Kluyveromyces lactis: one gene and its partners. The protein of the gene in region 3 interacts with the protein of the main gene of each other region in a pairwise test. Links are inferred from orthologs where the notes say so. Each region holds a gene or a part of one and is shown on either strand. Other genes may lie near its edges.

Region 1 (3,921 bases), on a different chromosome or scaffold from region 3:
GGTGGTTCTATTGGAACTGAAATAGGGAATGACGAATGATAATATTTCATGACACCGAATAACACAAGAACAAAGCATATATCTGTCACGTACATTGACGCTACGTCAAAATACTCTAATGCAAGACCGATCTTTCCTTGAATGTTCCTAATAGGTAAAATGCCTTCTGGTATCATTGTCAGATACTTCAAAATGCCTCCTGCGTTTTGGGTGGCCGTAACATTGTTATCTCTTTGAAGTTTCTTCAACATTTGATAGTAGATAGAGATGAATACTATTTCTAGTCCGGTAAAGATGGAGAAGAAGTTCGATCTTTCCACTATTTGGGATAACAAGTTGGAAGCTTGAAGAACAGTGGGATTGGGATGCATGATAAAGTAGACGTATGGTGCAAGAAGAGCCCATTTTATTAAAATGATGTAGGATTTCAATTTGGACACTTTGAACTTGTAATACTTCAAGACTTTCTCATCAACAAAATTAGGGAGCATCTGTGTAGCAGAAGCAGTAGTATTCGTATCGTTGTTTAGCAAAGAACTGAAAAGGTCCGGTGTACTGGCATCTGGTGATCCATTTTGGAATCCTCCACCTTGTTGTTGCATCTTAAGCAACTGTTGGAAAAGGGCAACCTCAGGATTCGTTTCAGCGGCATCAGTTTCAGAATTGTCCTTGTTACCGGGAATACTAGAAAGTAAATCTTGAATCTCTTTGGTAGACTTTTCAACTTCTTCGTCACTCACATTGGATGATTTCTTGTTACCTGACGGAGTAACTTTTGGCTCATCAAGAACAGATGTTGAAGACAAAAAGCTATTCTGCTGTTGACCAGTGATCTTGTTCAACCTGCTGGAAGCACCTCCGTTGGAAAACTTCTGTTGCCTTCTTTCCCTCAACAATTTACGTTTCTCAGCATCAGACAATTCAGTAGCCATCTTGTAAACTCCAAATTCTGTGTGAATTACAGCTCAATTCGGGGGAAACTAAAGTAGAATTAGATCGACAATCAAAATAAGAAGATCAACTCCCCTGAATATTCGAACTAAATACAACGCAGGTGCCTTGTAAAACGATACCGAGTGACTGGTTTCAAAACTAACCCTTCACATTGTATAGGATGTTTGATCAATCCGCTTTATCTTGACAGTTCCCACGAAATTGATGGGAAAAAGAACAATGTTACCCGGAAAGTATCGCCAATACCAATACTATTTGCTACTCAAGATCTATTTGATATATATAGATTTAGGCTGTGTACTTTGCCACAATTTGATCGAAAGTCTTGTTATTTTCAAGGTCGGCAACACATAGTGGGTGAGATGGTTTCAATTGTTGCAATTCCGATCTCAATTCGTTTGCATTTCCACCAGATAAGATGGTGTACGTAATCTTATTTGCAAGTAGATCAGGCTTGTACGTTTGTGCTTCTTGTTTGATATCGTAGAACTCGCTTTCTAAGAGGTCGATGATTGCTTTGGATTCAGGCAAATGCGATTGTTGGAGGTGTAAATTCAATAGGCCTAATTGAGTCTTCCAACTTGGGAAAGTTTGAGACAACTCTTCAAAGAAATAGAAATTGGATCCAGTGATCTCTTTACCCTGGTTGAAGTTGATGTATGACTCTGCAAGATTCAAAATTATTTCATCGTCGTTCGATTGCTCCTGAAGTGCTTGGAAATTTTCAAACATAGTCGAGGCAATGGTTGGTTGATTATCCAACAAAGTTATTTGGATGGCCGTTAACAGTAGTTCCGGGGTTCCTCTTGTTTCATCGGAGTCAATTCCTTCAACGGCAACCTCCAAAGCAGTTTTAAACTCGCCCTTTATAGTCAATGCACTTGCTAATAAGTTCAATGCAAATGGAGATCTGCCCGCCTTTTCAACGGTTTGTTCTAGTGCAGTGATTGAGCCTGTAGGTTTGCTTAAAAATTTATAGTAAGCCTCAAATACAGGCCCAAGTGAGCCAGAATCAGCACTACCCTCACTGAACTGGGACAATGCAATCAATGATCTATTTCTGTAGTAAGTCAACGCCTCATCTTCAGTTTTGTTAAACTTAGAAACTTCGTTCAACGCTTCTTCATAGTTACCAGTATAAAACTGCTGTTTTACAGTAAAATAGTCCATTTCTTCTGAGTTGATATTTTTTTCTCAACAAATCTGACGTCGGAAAACTTCAATTAACCGTTATCGTGTATTGAAAGCGACTTTACTGGCTCATTAACGGGTCTATCTCACACGTATCCTTTAATATTGAGAGTCCATATGCTATCTTACTTTGATCCACCATGCGAATTGTCCAAAACTGAAAAACTGACAGGATCAGGGTAATGGATGTTTTTCATTCACGTGATCTTTTTTTTTGTATTTTTCCTTTCTCGAATAATTCTCGAAGGTGTGGATCACCATATGGCGTTTATTTAAGGGATTGAGAGTATTTATCAGAAGAAATTCAGAGCCAGTTACTTTGGACGTTTAAACGATACGGGTTGGAAAAGGAAACAGATTCAGTAATTAACAGTACACTTCTTACGACCATTGGTTAATTCCGGATTTGAGATTTATATTTAAAACGTCTGAGTGAGAGAGAGAGGTTAGCAAGAATTTTTTCCTTCTTAAGACGAATCACGACTTGGCCTAGATTTATCTCAGACTAATTTCATGGTGAAGAGTCAATCCACGTTAATATATCATAAAAGATTTATTTAACTGGATCTTTAATTAAAAACCTGTCATAATGTCCGGTTCAAGTGACAGTTCACATGATACCACCGTTAAGGATATAACTGAGGATGAGCAGTTCTTGAGGATAAGAAGGCTGAACGACAACAACCATGGGAAGAGGAAGTCTTTGCATGAGGAACAGTTGGAGGATGCTGTTCTCGATGAACTTGGATCTCCGGACGTTCTTTTCAACACGGTCCAGCCTAACGACACGGTTATCTTTAAGACTAGAACCACCTCCGAACAAGGCGACAAACATCTGCATGTTTTCATGCAGAAATTGAAGGTGAAGGAAAAGAACAGATATAAGAAGGATACGAATGAAATGCAGTCCATGACACGAGATGTAGACTGGGGCTCTAGAGGTAGTATCATGGATGAGATGGTCAACAATCCGCTTAGATCTCATTTCAATGGGCCAGCAATAGACGAGAAATATTCTAGAGTAAAGGCAACAGCCAGATCAAATACGGTGAGGATAGATGACAATAATACTATTGAAATTGCAAATGAAACTATAGCAACAGACTTTTCTGGATTCTATGTCTTATTTTGGATGGCAGTTGCGTTCACCATCTGCAAAGTGACATTACAATATTACGAGGAACATGGTGATTTTTCACAGTCAATTATCTTGCGATACATGACCATGAATCTTTGGAAAGTTGCGTTATATGATATCGCAATGTACCTGACTAGTTATTTTGCATTCGTCATACAATATTTGTGCAGAAAAAATGTCATCAGTTGGAGACGTACAGGGAGAGATATTATTTCAGTTTATGAGGTGGTATTTCTATTCTCCAATATCTACTTACCAAAAAAGACCTTCCATTTCAACTGGATCGCCCAAATATTTTTATTTTTACATTCATTGGTCTATTTGATGAAGATACATTCTTATTCCTTCTATAATGGTTATTTGTGGGATATTTCATCAGAGTTGGATTATGCAACATCTACCCTAAAGAAACTGAAAAAACTCAGTTCTCCACAACCAGAACTTGATATATTGCAAAAGTCAATAGATTTTTGTGAGTTTGAGATAAGATCTCAATCATCAACGGTCAGGTTCCCATTTAATGTCTCAGTGAAGAACTTTTTCGAGTTTTCTTCGTTCCCAACGCTTGTATATCAGATAGAATACCCACGCACAAAACGTATAAGATGGTTTTACGTTTTTGAGAAATGTTGCGCGAT
Region 2 (3,903 bases), on a different chromosome or scaffold from region 3:
ATGCTGTCAAACAAGGTCCAGTAAAGGGTCAAAAGAACAGACTAAAATTCAAAAAAGGATCCAGAGCTGGCAATGAGGATGATTTCAGTGATGATGAACAGGAAACCAAGCTACCAAAAACAAAACCAGCTGAAAAGGGAAGAATTGGTAAAAAATCCAATGGTAGATTTAAAAACAAGAGGAGATTATAAATCACTTTTACCTGATATGCACTGCAACGCCCTAGCCCATTTATCAATTTGATAGTTGTATATAGATGTATAGTAGAATAGACAAAATCGGAACCAAAAGATTGTTACATGTGATTGATTTGAAAACAATCGAGTGAGAGTGCGATTGTTTTGTCGTAAACATGAACTAATTTTGTGTTAAACAAATTATATTTATATATCGTATGCGTGTCCAAAATCCAAAGATGCCCTTCTTTCAAATGTATTTTGCATGTCCTCCATTTCGTCTAACTCTGTGGTAACTACATTGCCTAAAGTTAAGCCTCCCGTTCCAGAGGTCTCAAAATCATAATCCGTTTTATCAATATCGGTGTAGTCTTGCTGATCTTCCTCCGTATGGAGGGGTTCAAGTAAATCGTCAATATTCTCATCTTCATATGAAACAACTATGTTTTCTAACTTGTTATTTGGGTTACCGATAGGTAACTTTGAGATGAGTCTTTTCAGAACTATTTGCTCTGCTGCGTCTTCAGTACTTTCCTCTTTTCCTTCTTCATCTTCGTTAATTTCGATTCCAACTGGAATGCATGAATTGGTAATGATAGGTCGACTTCGGCTTAGTTTAGAGTATTTTAATCCAGGAATTGACGGTAACGAAATGAGATCTTGAGGAAGTTTCCCCGACTTCCTCTTCGCAAGTTCTAATTTTTGTGATGTCAACATGAATTGTATCCAGTCATCCATATCCCCGTTGTTTATCATTGCTTCCACCAATTCTGTCTCATCATCTCCATCGTTAGGCTTTTTGTCCGATGTATTCAGCTGGTTGATATACTCCGGAATCATTGACAATGGTTTACTAGTTTTATCACCAACTTTCAACAGGTCTGGACTTGGGGTACTGATAACTCGTGCTTCTGTTGTTGCGGGATCTTGAAGTAACCATCTTTTAAACTGTTGCATACCTTCATCGCCTGCCACGGACGGGTTTTCATCGTAAACATCCAGTAGGTTCATTGGTTTAAATACGCCGATATTGAGCATTCCTTGGGTAATATCTTGAAGGGACACTTCTTCATCTAAATCACGGCGATCCAGAGTAAGTTTCCGTATTTCTTGAATCATCAGTTCTAGATATCTCACATATAAATCAGTAAAAAGATTAACTGTCCCCATTTTGGCTCTATCGAAGCCATGTGCCCTTAAAAGGTGTATCATTGAAATTCGCAGCAGCGAAAAGTAAAAACTTTCATCAGTGGTCATAATTGTGAGGAGCTGAGTAAAGCAATAACACTTTGCTTGCTCAATGCTTAGAGCGTAGAATATACAAAATACTGCAAAGTCTTTGCAATTGGCCGGTATTTAACTTATGATAAATAAATCAAAGTAAATACTGCTTAGTAAATCAATCAGTGTCCTCGAAGCTCAGTACTGGTTGCATTCTGCATCGAACGAACCCCACAATAGACAGTTTTCGTTAATGTATAGTATTTGCATGGCTAACCTACTTATCAGACAGTAAAAGTTACAAGTTCCTTCTGTGTTTTCCATTACCCGGAAACAAATCACGTGATAAGAGATTCGATCAAACACTTGCTGTTTGGCGTTACTGGAGCATAAATCCGTATTCAATGATATCAACAGGCTTTCATTGCCATGGAGCTTTTTACATGGACAGCTTTACAAGACATCCAAAGAAGGCTACTGATTCTAATTACAGGAATGGGCAATGGTTGAGAGCTGAATTCTGCCTCTCTCGAGCGCAGTTCCTATTTGTCCTATATCTTGTCAACTGCAAATTTGGAATTTTCGCGTACCGCCAAACCAGCACTTCCCTCCTGAGACAGTAAACCATTGCATCAGTACTGAATAACACGAATAGCATACCCTGGAAGTAACCAAGAAGAAAAACATAAACAACATGGTTAACTTATCTCTATACACAGTTAAAGCTGTGTTGATTTTGGATGGAGAAGGAAGAAGACTTTACTCGAAATACTTCCATCCACCACACGAAGAAATTTCTGCAGATTCTCTTGCATCCAGCTTAAAGAAGCAAAAAGAGTTCGAATCTAACCTATTTGCTAAAACTCATGGGCAGAATTCAGACATTATGATATCAGACGATCTATTAGTTATTTACAGAGAATATGTCGATGTTTCGATATATCTGATCGGTGCAATCGACGAAAACGAAATTGTTTTGCAAGAAGCATTCAACGGGTTCAAAGATTCCCTAGAATTGATATTGGATACAGGTATTGACAAGAGGAGTGTTCAGGAACATTATGACATGGTGGTTCTAGCAATTGATGAATTGATTGATGATGGTATTATCTTAGAAACTGATCCAGCCACAATTGCCTCTAGAGTGACGAAACCGCCTTCAAAGGATATCCCATTGAATATAGAATTGAATGAAAAGGGTTTGCTAAGCGCGTGGGGCTTTGCCAAGAGTAAATTGGCTGAAAGATTACAGCAGGGCTTGTAAGCTTCTCCTCATTTTCCAGATTTCTTTTATAATCAGACACATATGTTTACCATCGATATGTAAATACTGTGTGAATGTCTTTGCCTCTTCTAATAAAGATGAAACTAAGATAAATATAAATATGAAATACAGTACTTTCACTTTATATGCTAATTAGTTGATTTTAATATGACAGCGTGAAAACTATTCGATTGGTCAAACATATCTCTGAATGATAAGAATTTGCTTGATATTTTTTGTCATCATTTTTTAGACTTCTTACCTTTCGCCATTGATTGCTTTGATTTATGTGATCTGCCTGAGGATGCTTTGTCGTTTCCACCTGGGATGGAAATCTTCAATTTATCAGAACAAATAATAGGAACGACATCCAAAGTTTTGATTAGCTTTATTGTTTCATGTTCTCTTGGCCAATCTAAGTCTTTATCGTACTCCGAACTGTCGACAGTTCTATTCAAGAAGTAATGTAGAGTTTCATTAATAGATTTGCTCTTCTTTGCAGTGCCAGGCTGTATTTTGACTTTATACTTATTTTTAGTTAAAGCAGCCCAGGGGGCATAGACAGGGATAACGTCAGCTATTTTATCATCTTTGGAAATACCGGTTTTCAATTGATTCAAAAATTTTGGAATATCAACTTCGACCTTTTCTGATTTGTTAAACTGCAAGATGCGAGTTTGCTCTTGGTTTTTACGTATCCGCTTTTTAAACTCCCTCTTTTCGGCTCTTTCCATCTCTTCAAGTTTTTTTTGCTTCTCTCTTTCAATACCTTTTAATGTTCCAAGTGCTTCTAGTCTCAATAATCTTTCTTCTTCATCTTGGTCAAAGTACTTCTTTTGGATTTTTTTCAATTTCCCTCTCTTACCACGAACCGCTGTATTCATATTTTCAACAATTGAAGTAGCTATAGTCTTACTCTCATCAAAATCCTCTTCACCTTTGGATAAATCACTATTTGAGAGTTTCTCGTACCCATCAGTGGCCTCTTCTCCTGCTAAAGCCACTTCATCGAAATTGTTGACATCGAACCCTAGATCATTAATTTCTTTTGAAATAACGTTTACATTATTATCAATTTGGTCGACTGGGTTTGTTTCCGGCTGAGAAGTATGACTTGTATCATCGTCAGATGCTTCTAAGTCACTATTTTGTTCATACTCACCCTCTTTTTCCTCGCTATCCTCTGTCTTTACTTTCCACACAAGTCCTAATCCCATCACTAATTGTGCTGGTGGCAACATG
Region 3 (5,483 bases):
AAGGAACAGCAGTTTAGGTCCAGAGCAGCATTCAAATTAATGGACATTGATGATAAATACCGGTTCTTCAAACAAAATCAGAAAGTTTTAGATCTTGGGTTTGCGCCGGGTGCCTGGTCACAAGTAGCGAGGAAAAGGATCGGTTCAGGTGGAATGATCATGGGGGTTGATTTGTTACGTTGTACTCCGCCAAAGGGAGTGTATTCGTTACAGGCTAACATCCTATCGAAAAAGACTCATGAATTGATCAGACTTTGCTTTGCTCGTCATATCCAGCTAAACAAGCATGATCAATTACATAAGGATCATGGGTATCTCCAGCACATGCTAGAGGAAGAGTTAAACCATTTGAAGGAAACAGAGGAGTATAAGGAGCTATTCTCACAGACAGATATCAGTCAGAACATCGAACGATACCCGGTCGATGTTGTGCTTAGCGATATGATGGCAAACACGACAGGCATACAAAGTAAAGATCATTATATGTCGATGGACTTATGTGATGCTGCATTAATTGTAGCAATCGACCTATTAAAACCGGGAGGTTCATTCACTTGTAAATTATATGCTGGAAGCGAAGATACCCTTCTTGAAAAGAGACTTAAAAAGGTATTCAAAAAAGTCGACAGATTCAAACCCAATGCATCGAGAAATGAATCAAAAGAACTGTATTTCGTGGCTCGCGGGAAGAAAACTGATATAGATAAATTGAAGGTGTTTTTAGAGGAATAATTGTACTTGTAAATATTTTAAACAGTTTGATAGAATCTTCAAGACTCACGGATTGTAATCGTTTAGTTCATGTTAATATACTAGCATATTAATACATTATTTACGGATTATGAATTTATCGTAGTTCATTTTTTCTTTTAGGAGTTGGGGAACGTACAGTTATTCCGCCTTTGCAGCGGGTTTATCATCGTCTTTTGAACCTTGAGGCTCTTCAGATGAATCCTTGAATGCTTCTTCATCTTCATCTTCATCCTTATTTTCCTCGGTATCCAACGCTTTTTCTTCAACTGCGACATCCTCCTCTGACTTATGGTTTACAGGAGCCGCTTCTTTTATGCTCTCGCTTGGTGTATCTAAATCAAGTAAGGTATGTGTATTCGTTGATGGAAAACCTTCTGTCTTACCGACAACTCCAACTCTTTCAGCAATTGCGGCTTTACCGTCATTGATCAAAGTTTGCTTCCATACGTCTACTACAGTGTTGATGGATTCTGCCGATTCCCCGTATGTTAAACTTAATAGGGCAGCTTCTGGCACCCTATTAGATTTTAATAGCAAGTCCTTTGCTCCAGCTATGTCACCTGCTACCCAATAAGCATTGAAAGCTAGGTTGAACTTACCAGAAGTCTCAGCATTCTTTGCCAATGAAACCAACTCTTCCCTATTGTTGAATGAAGAATATAACAAGAAAAGGGATTCTAGATCATTTGCCTTTTCATAACATTGCAAAGCTAAAGTGAAATTGAATTTCTTTAAGGCAGCATCACCCAATTGAATCCATCTGTTCTCACTTTCCTGCTCGGACAATATTTCTTGCGCCAGTGATAGTCGGCCTAATTTAATAGCTAGATCAAACTTCTGCTCAGCGTCTGGTGAAATTTCTAAGGCATCTTCAAACAAATCTTGTCCCTCCAAAAATCTAGAGATCTTTAGCAAGTTTTCTTTTCCTTGAACATTAGGTAGTACGGATGATTTGGCCTCAGCTAGTTCGCCTCTGAGTACCAATGTCTCGAATTCCAAAACATCAATAGATAGTTCATAACCATAAACATGGATATCTTTGTCAGCCAAATAAACTTTATCATCTCTTGGCAAATAACCTAATAAGTACATCTGCTTATCGAAATGTGCAAGATTATAGATTTTACCACCAACAAAGTAGTTTAATCTATTTGTTGGGGTGGTGAAAATGAAGACATCACCAACCCACTTACCTGACGTGATACCCTCTGAAACTTCGTATAATACGTCAAACGCATCTTCTACACCATCTTCATCAATACTTCCAGCTGAAACCGCCTCATCGTAAACATCCTTATTGAACAACAGAGCGTAAGCATTAGCTTCTTCAGCAGAGTCTGTTTCATGGTCTTTGTTGATGATCATAACAAGCTCTCCATTATCTGACCAGATTATATCCTTAGCATCGACATCAATTCTTTTCACTAGATTACCTGATTCCCAATCAAAGAAATATACGAAGCCGTCAGCTTTGACACCTAATACTGAACCAGGGAAGATTTTTTCGACACCGTAATCAAGCGGAATTGACCAAGAAGATACTTGTTTGAAGTTCTTGTAGTAGGTCACTGCACCCGTTTCCGTGATTAACGCATAACTATTAGAATCTGGGCCCCATGCAAAGTCATGGCATTTGCCGAAAGCTTTGTTTCTCCATGCTAAAGCAGTGTACACAATGAATTCGTCATCACCAACAACAGTGACAAATCTACCATTTGGGGAATGCTTCAAACTTTGTGGGAAAACGTCGATCGACCCTAATTCTTTGCTTTGCAAAGGAAGGGCACCGCCTTCTTCTACCTCTTCATTACCTCTAATGATGGCAGAGAAGACGTCAGTGGCTGATGCTTTACCACCGCAATAAACTAACTTACCAACTGGATCCAAAGATAATTTTGGTTGATCATCACCTAGGGATAGAACTGTGAAACCATTGTCGAAACCCGATGCAATGTAATTACGTTTACCAGATGGATGAGTAGCGATACACCAACTTCTTTCAAGCCCGATGTTCAACGTTTTCTCTAGTTTGTATGTATTTGCATTCCAAATCTTGAGAGTTCCATCCTCGGAACCTGAGATAATGATAGGTAAAGTCGGATGGAATACAGCATATGACACGTTAGCCATATGTCCCTCTAAAGTAGCAACATTAGATTTTGTCTGGTAATCCCACACCTTGATGGTACCGTCATCGGAAGTGGTAATCAAATAAGGCTTATCTTGTAACGGGTAATAGTCGACATAATTCACACCTTTAGTTTCATGTGCTTTCAAGGTGAAATTTGGAACATCTTGACCAATCGACCAAACTTTGATAGTGTGATCCAAACAACCGGAGGCAAATTGGTTGGGGTCCTTTGGGTTGAATGCAACAGACATGACGAAGTGCTCATGACCGGTAAAGGTTTGTTGGCAGCCCCAATTCTTTTCCCAGTTCCATAACTTAATAGTCAGATCATCAGAACCTGTCAGAACGAATGGCTTCGTTGGATGCACAGCAATGGAACGGATATAATCAGGATGTGCTTCGAATTCGGTCACTTTTTCACCGGTGTTATAATTATAAACTCTTAATTTAAAGTCATCGGAACCAACAACAACCCAGTTCTTTCTTGCAATGAATCTACCAGCTCTCACTGGAGCATCACATAATGGAATAGATCTCACTTGCGTTTGCGTCTCGTAGTTCCATATCTCAATTCTTCCTGAGTACAAGGTAATTAAAACCCAAGGTTCCTCAGGATGAAAGTCAATGCCCTTAACCCTGTCAGTTCTGGCACTGAGCTTTTTCTAAAGACAAATAAAGTCACCATAGATGAAAAAAATGTTAGTAAAAGCTCTTTCTTTTAGTTGCTGATAAGGGCTGAAGAAATATAATCTGTTGAATCAAAACATAAAACATAAATGTATTGATACCAGAAAAACGCCTAAGATACTTAATATGCAATTGCTAACGTTCAACAGCGATTCTCCGTGATAAAAGCACCTCACAAATTACTCTAGTACACAATGTGTCACATACATTGATGTCAAGTTTCATTGCTAATTTCCTTCCGCTCTGTTGGGTCTCTACCTTCGATGTTTTCTTCAACTAACGTGTTAAAATCATGAATGGATCTTTATTATTCAAATTCCCCTTTCAAACATTTTTTTTTCAAAGCCGTTGATGGACATGGCATAGGACCGGGTAATGTTATTATGATATTGATGTCAGTGTCAGTGTCACATAAATAAAGCATCAACTTGAACCGTTTCGGCTCGAGAGTACTACGAGCTATATGACTTATTTCCCCTAATATTACATCAATCTTCTCCATTTTGTATTCAAAGCTAAAGTTGAAGAATATTACTAATTATTATATTTGTTCGACAAAGGGCGCGATTTAGGCTATTCAGCAGAACAACTGCTATTTGTCTTGATAGTCTCATTTTATTAGAAGCTACAGCAGTTGTGTGGTTTGTTATAGAATGAGTAAAGGTCAACTATGGTTGTTGATTCTCTTTTGTTCTGCTCTATTTTTTGATTTTGCTTACGGGAAAGCACTATACCCTGTTCATACAATTGATAAAGCTTGTGCGGTAGGTTTCAACTCTGCCAACATGAATATGAAGAAAACGTTTGAGATATGGAGTGGGGCAACGATTCCAGTAGATTCTTTGCCTGGAGATACAAAGCTCTTCACTGGATTTAAAGTACACAGGGTATTTTATTTTCACCAGCTATATAAAAGATCAGGGAAAGCTTTGAAGATAACTTATTGTAACGAGGGTAAAGTTGTCTTTGAAACTGAGAAGCAACTTACTAATGATGTAAAGGATTGGAACCAACCGTGGTGTTTTTTTGAATCTAAAGAACAGGAAAATCCCAATAATAGTTTGAAGAACTTTCATTGTTTAAAAATGGCCAGAAGAAAGAAGTATGCGATCCGTCCATTTGATGTTTTTATACCCTACACTTGGGTTGGCGGTTTGTTTTATTGTGATGTGGATATGGATGCCAAACAAACGATATTTCAATCTTTACAGAGTGATGGAATAAGTACATCAAATGCAATGGAATTTTGTTCTTTATCTAATTCGATACCAATTCAGCCATTGTATGCATCGACTTATTCTGATTCCTGGTCAGAAGTTATGGCTAAGAAATTAATCCCATTCATCACTCTCCTGTCAAAGCGAAAAACAAAGACATATGTTCCATACTTACAGACCCCGAATTTGTCTATGGCTCCGACTAACTTTAGTTTGAGCTCATATTACATGAATACAAGTATGTCCCAGATACCTGACTTCAAGAGCAAACTTTCCACAAAAGAACTTCTCATCGATTGGTATTCAAGAAGGAAATCCTCAAAAGAGTTGTCCTGGTTTCAAGAGATTGAAGTTTCAGAAAGATATCATTATGATAAAGAAGATAATTTCAAACTCACGTTGGCAACAGAAAAATTGAAAGATATTATTTCGCCTTTGCTTCAGCTTTCAACCATAGAACAGGACAAACTATCTTTACCTTGGAGGACATTGAATAAAGTGGCCACAACTAAGTTATGGAAAACTTTAAGTATTACGGATAAAATAATGGCAGCAAACCTAACACGAGTACTAGAAAAATGCTCAGTTTTCCTTAACTATTGGGATAATATGCACGTCTCAGATGAATTGTTTGAATATGTGCACCCGTAGTCAAAAATCGATAATACATTTGTTTAATACGATGAAAAGTTTAT

What was found.
Region 1: the proteins of SEC27 (region 3) and SEC28 interact in binary tests that used the Saccharomyces cerevisiae proteins (3 or more experiments, as listed by UniProt). The link is inferred for Kluyveromyces lactis from reciprocal best matches to the Saccharomyces cerevisiae genes SEC27 and SEC28.
Region 2: the proteins of SEC27 (region 3) and RET3 interact in binary tests that used the Saccharomyces cerevisiae proteins (3 or more experiments, as listed by UniProt). The link is inferred for Kluyveromyces lactis from reciprocal best matches to the Saccharomyces cerevisiae genes SEC27 and RET3.

What each region holds. Positions count from the first base shown.
Region 1 is NC_006039.1:798,023-801,943, reverse strand, and holds SEC28 (coatomer subunit epsilon), read right to left. Parts: upstream 2,125-3,921; coding exon 1,243-2,124; downstream 1-1,242. Other genes in the region: GET complex subunit GET2, read right to left, coding at 1-932; ARE2 (sterol acyltransferase), read left to right, coding at 2,735-3,921. UniProt on the Saccharomyces cerevisiae protein: The coatomer is a cytosolic protein complex that binds to dilysine motifs and reversibly associates with Golgi non-clathrin-coated vesicles, which further mediate biosynthetic protein transport from the ER, via the Golgi up to the trans Golgi network.
Region 2 is NC_006042.1:2,524,242-2,528,144, forward strand, and holds RET3 (coatomer subunit zeta), read left to right. Parts: upstream 1-2,091; coding exon 2,092-2,661; downstream 2,662-3,903. Other genes in the region: mRNA-binding protein RRP12, read left to right, coding at 1-191; TAF3 (Taf3p), read right to left, coding at 384-1,433; RQC2 (Rqc2p), read right to left, coding at 2,904-3,903. UniProt on the Saccharomyces cerevisiae protein: The coatomer is a cytosolic protein complex that binds to dilysine motifs and reversibly associates with Golgi non-clathrin-coated vesicles, which further mediate biosynthetic protein transport from the ER, via the Golgi up to the trans Golgi network.
Region 3 is NC_006038.1:168,959-174,441, reverse strand, and holds SEC27 (coatomer subunit beta'), read right to left. Parts: upstream 3,797-5,483; coding exon 3,779-3,796; intron 3,547-3,778; coding exon 892-3,546; downstream 1-891. Other genes in the region: MRM2 (21S rRNA (uridine2791-2'-O) methyltransferase), read left to right, coding at 1-732; KLLA0_B01936g (uncharacterized protein), read left to right, coding at 4,225-5,439. UniProt on the Saccharomyces cerevisiae protein: The coatomer is a cytosolic protein complex that binds to dilysine motifs and reversibly associates with Golgi non-clathrin-coated vesicles, which further mediate biosynthetic protein transport from the ER, via the Golgi up to the trans Golgi network.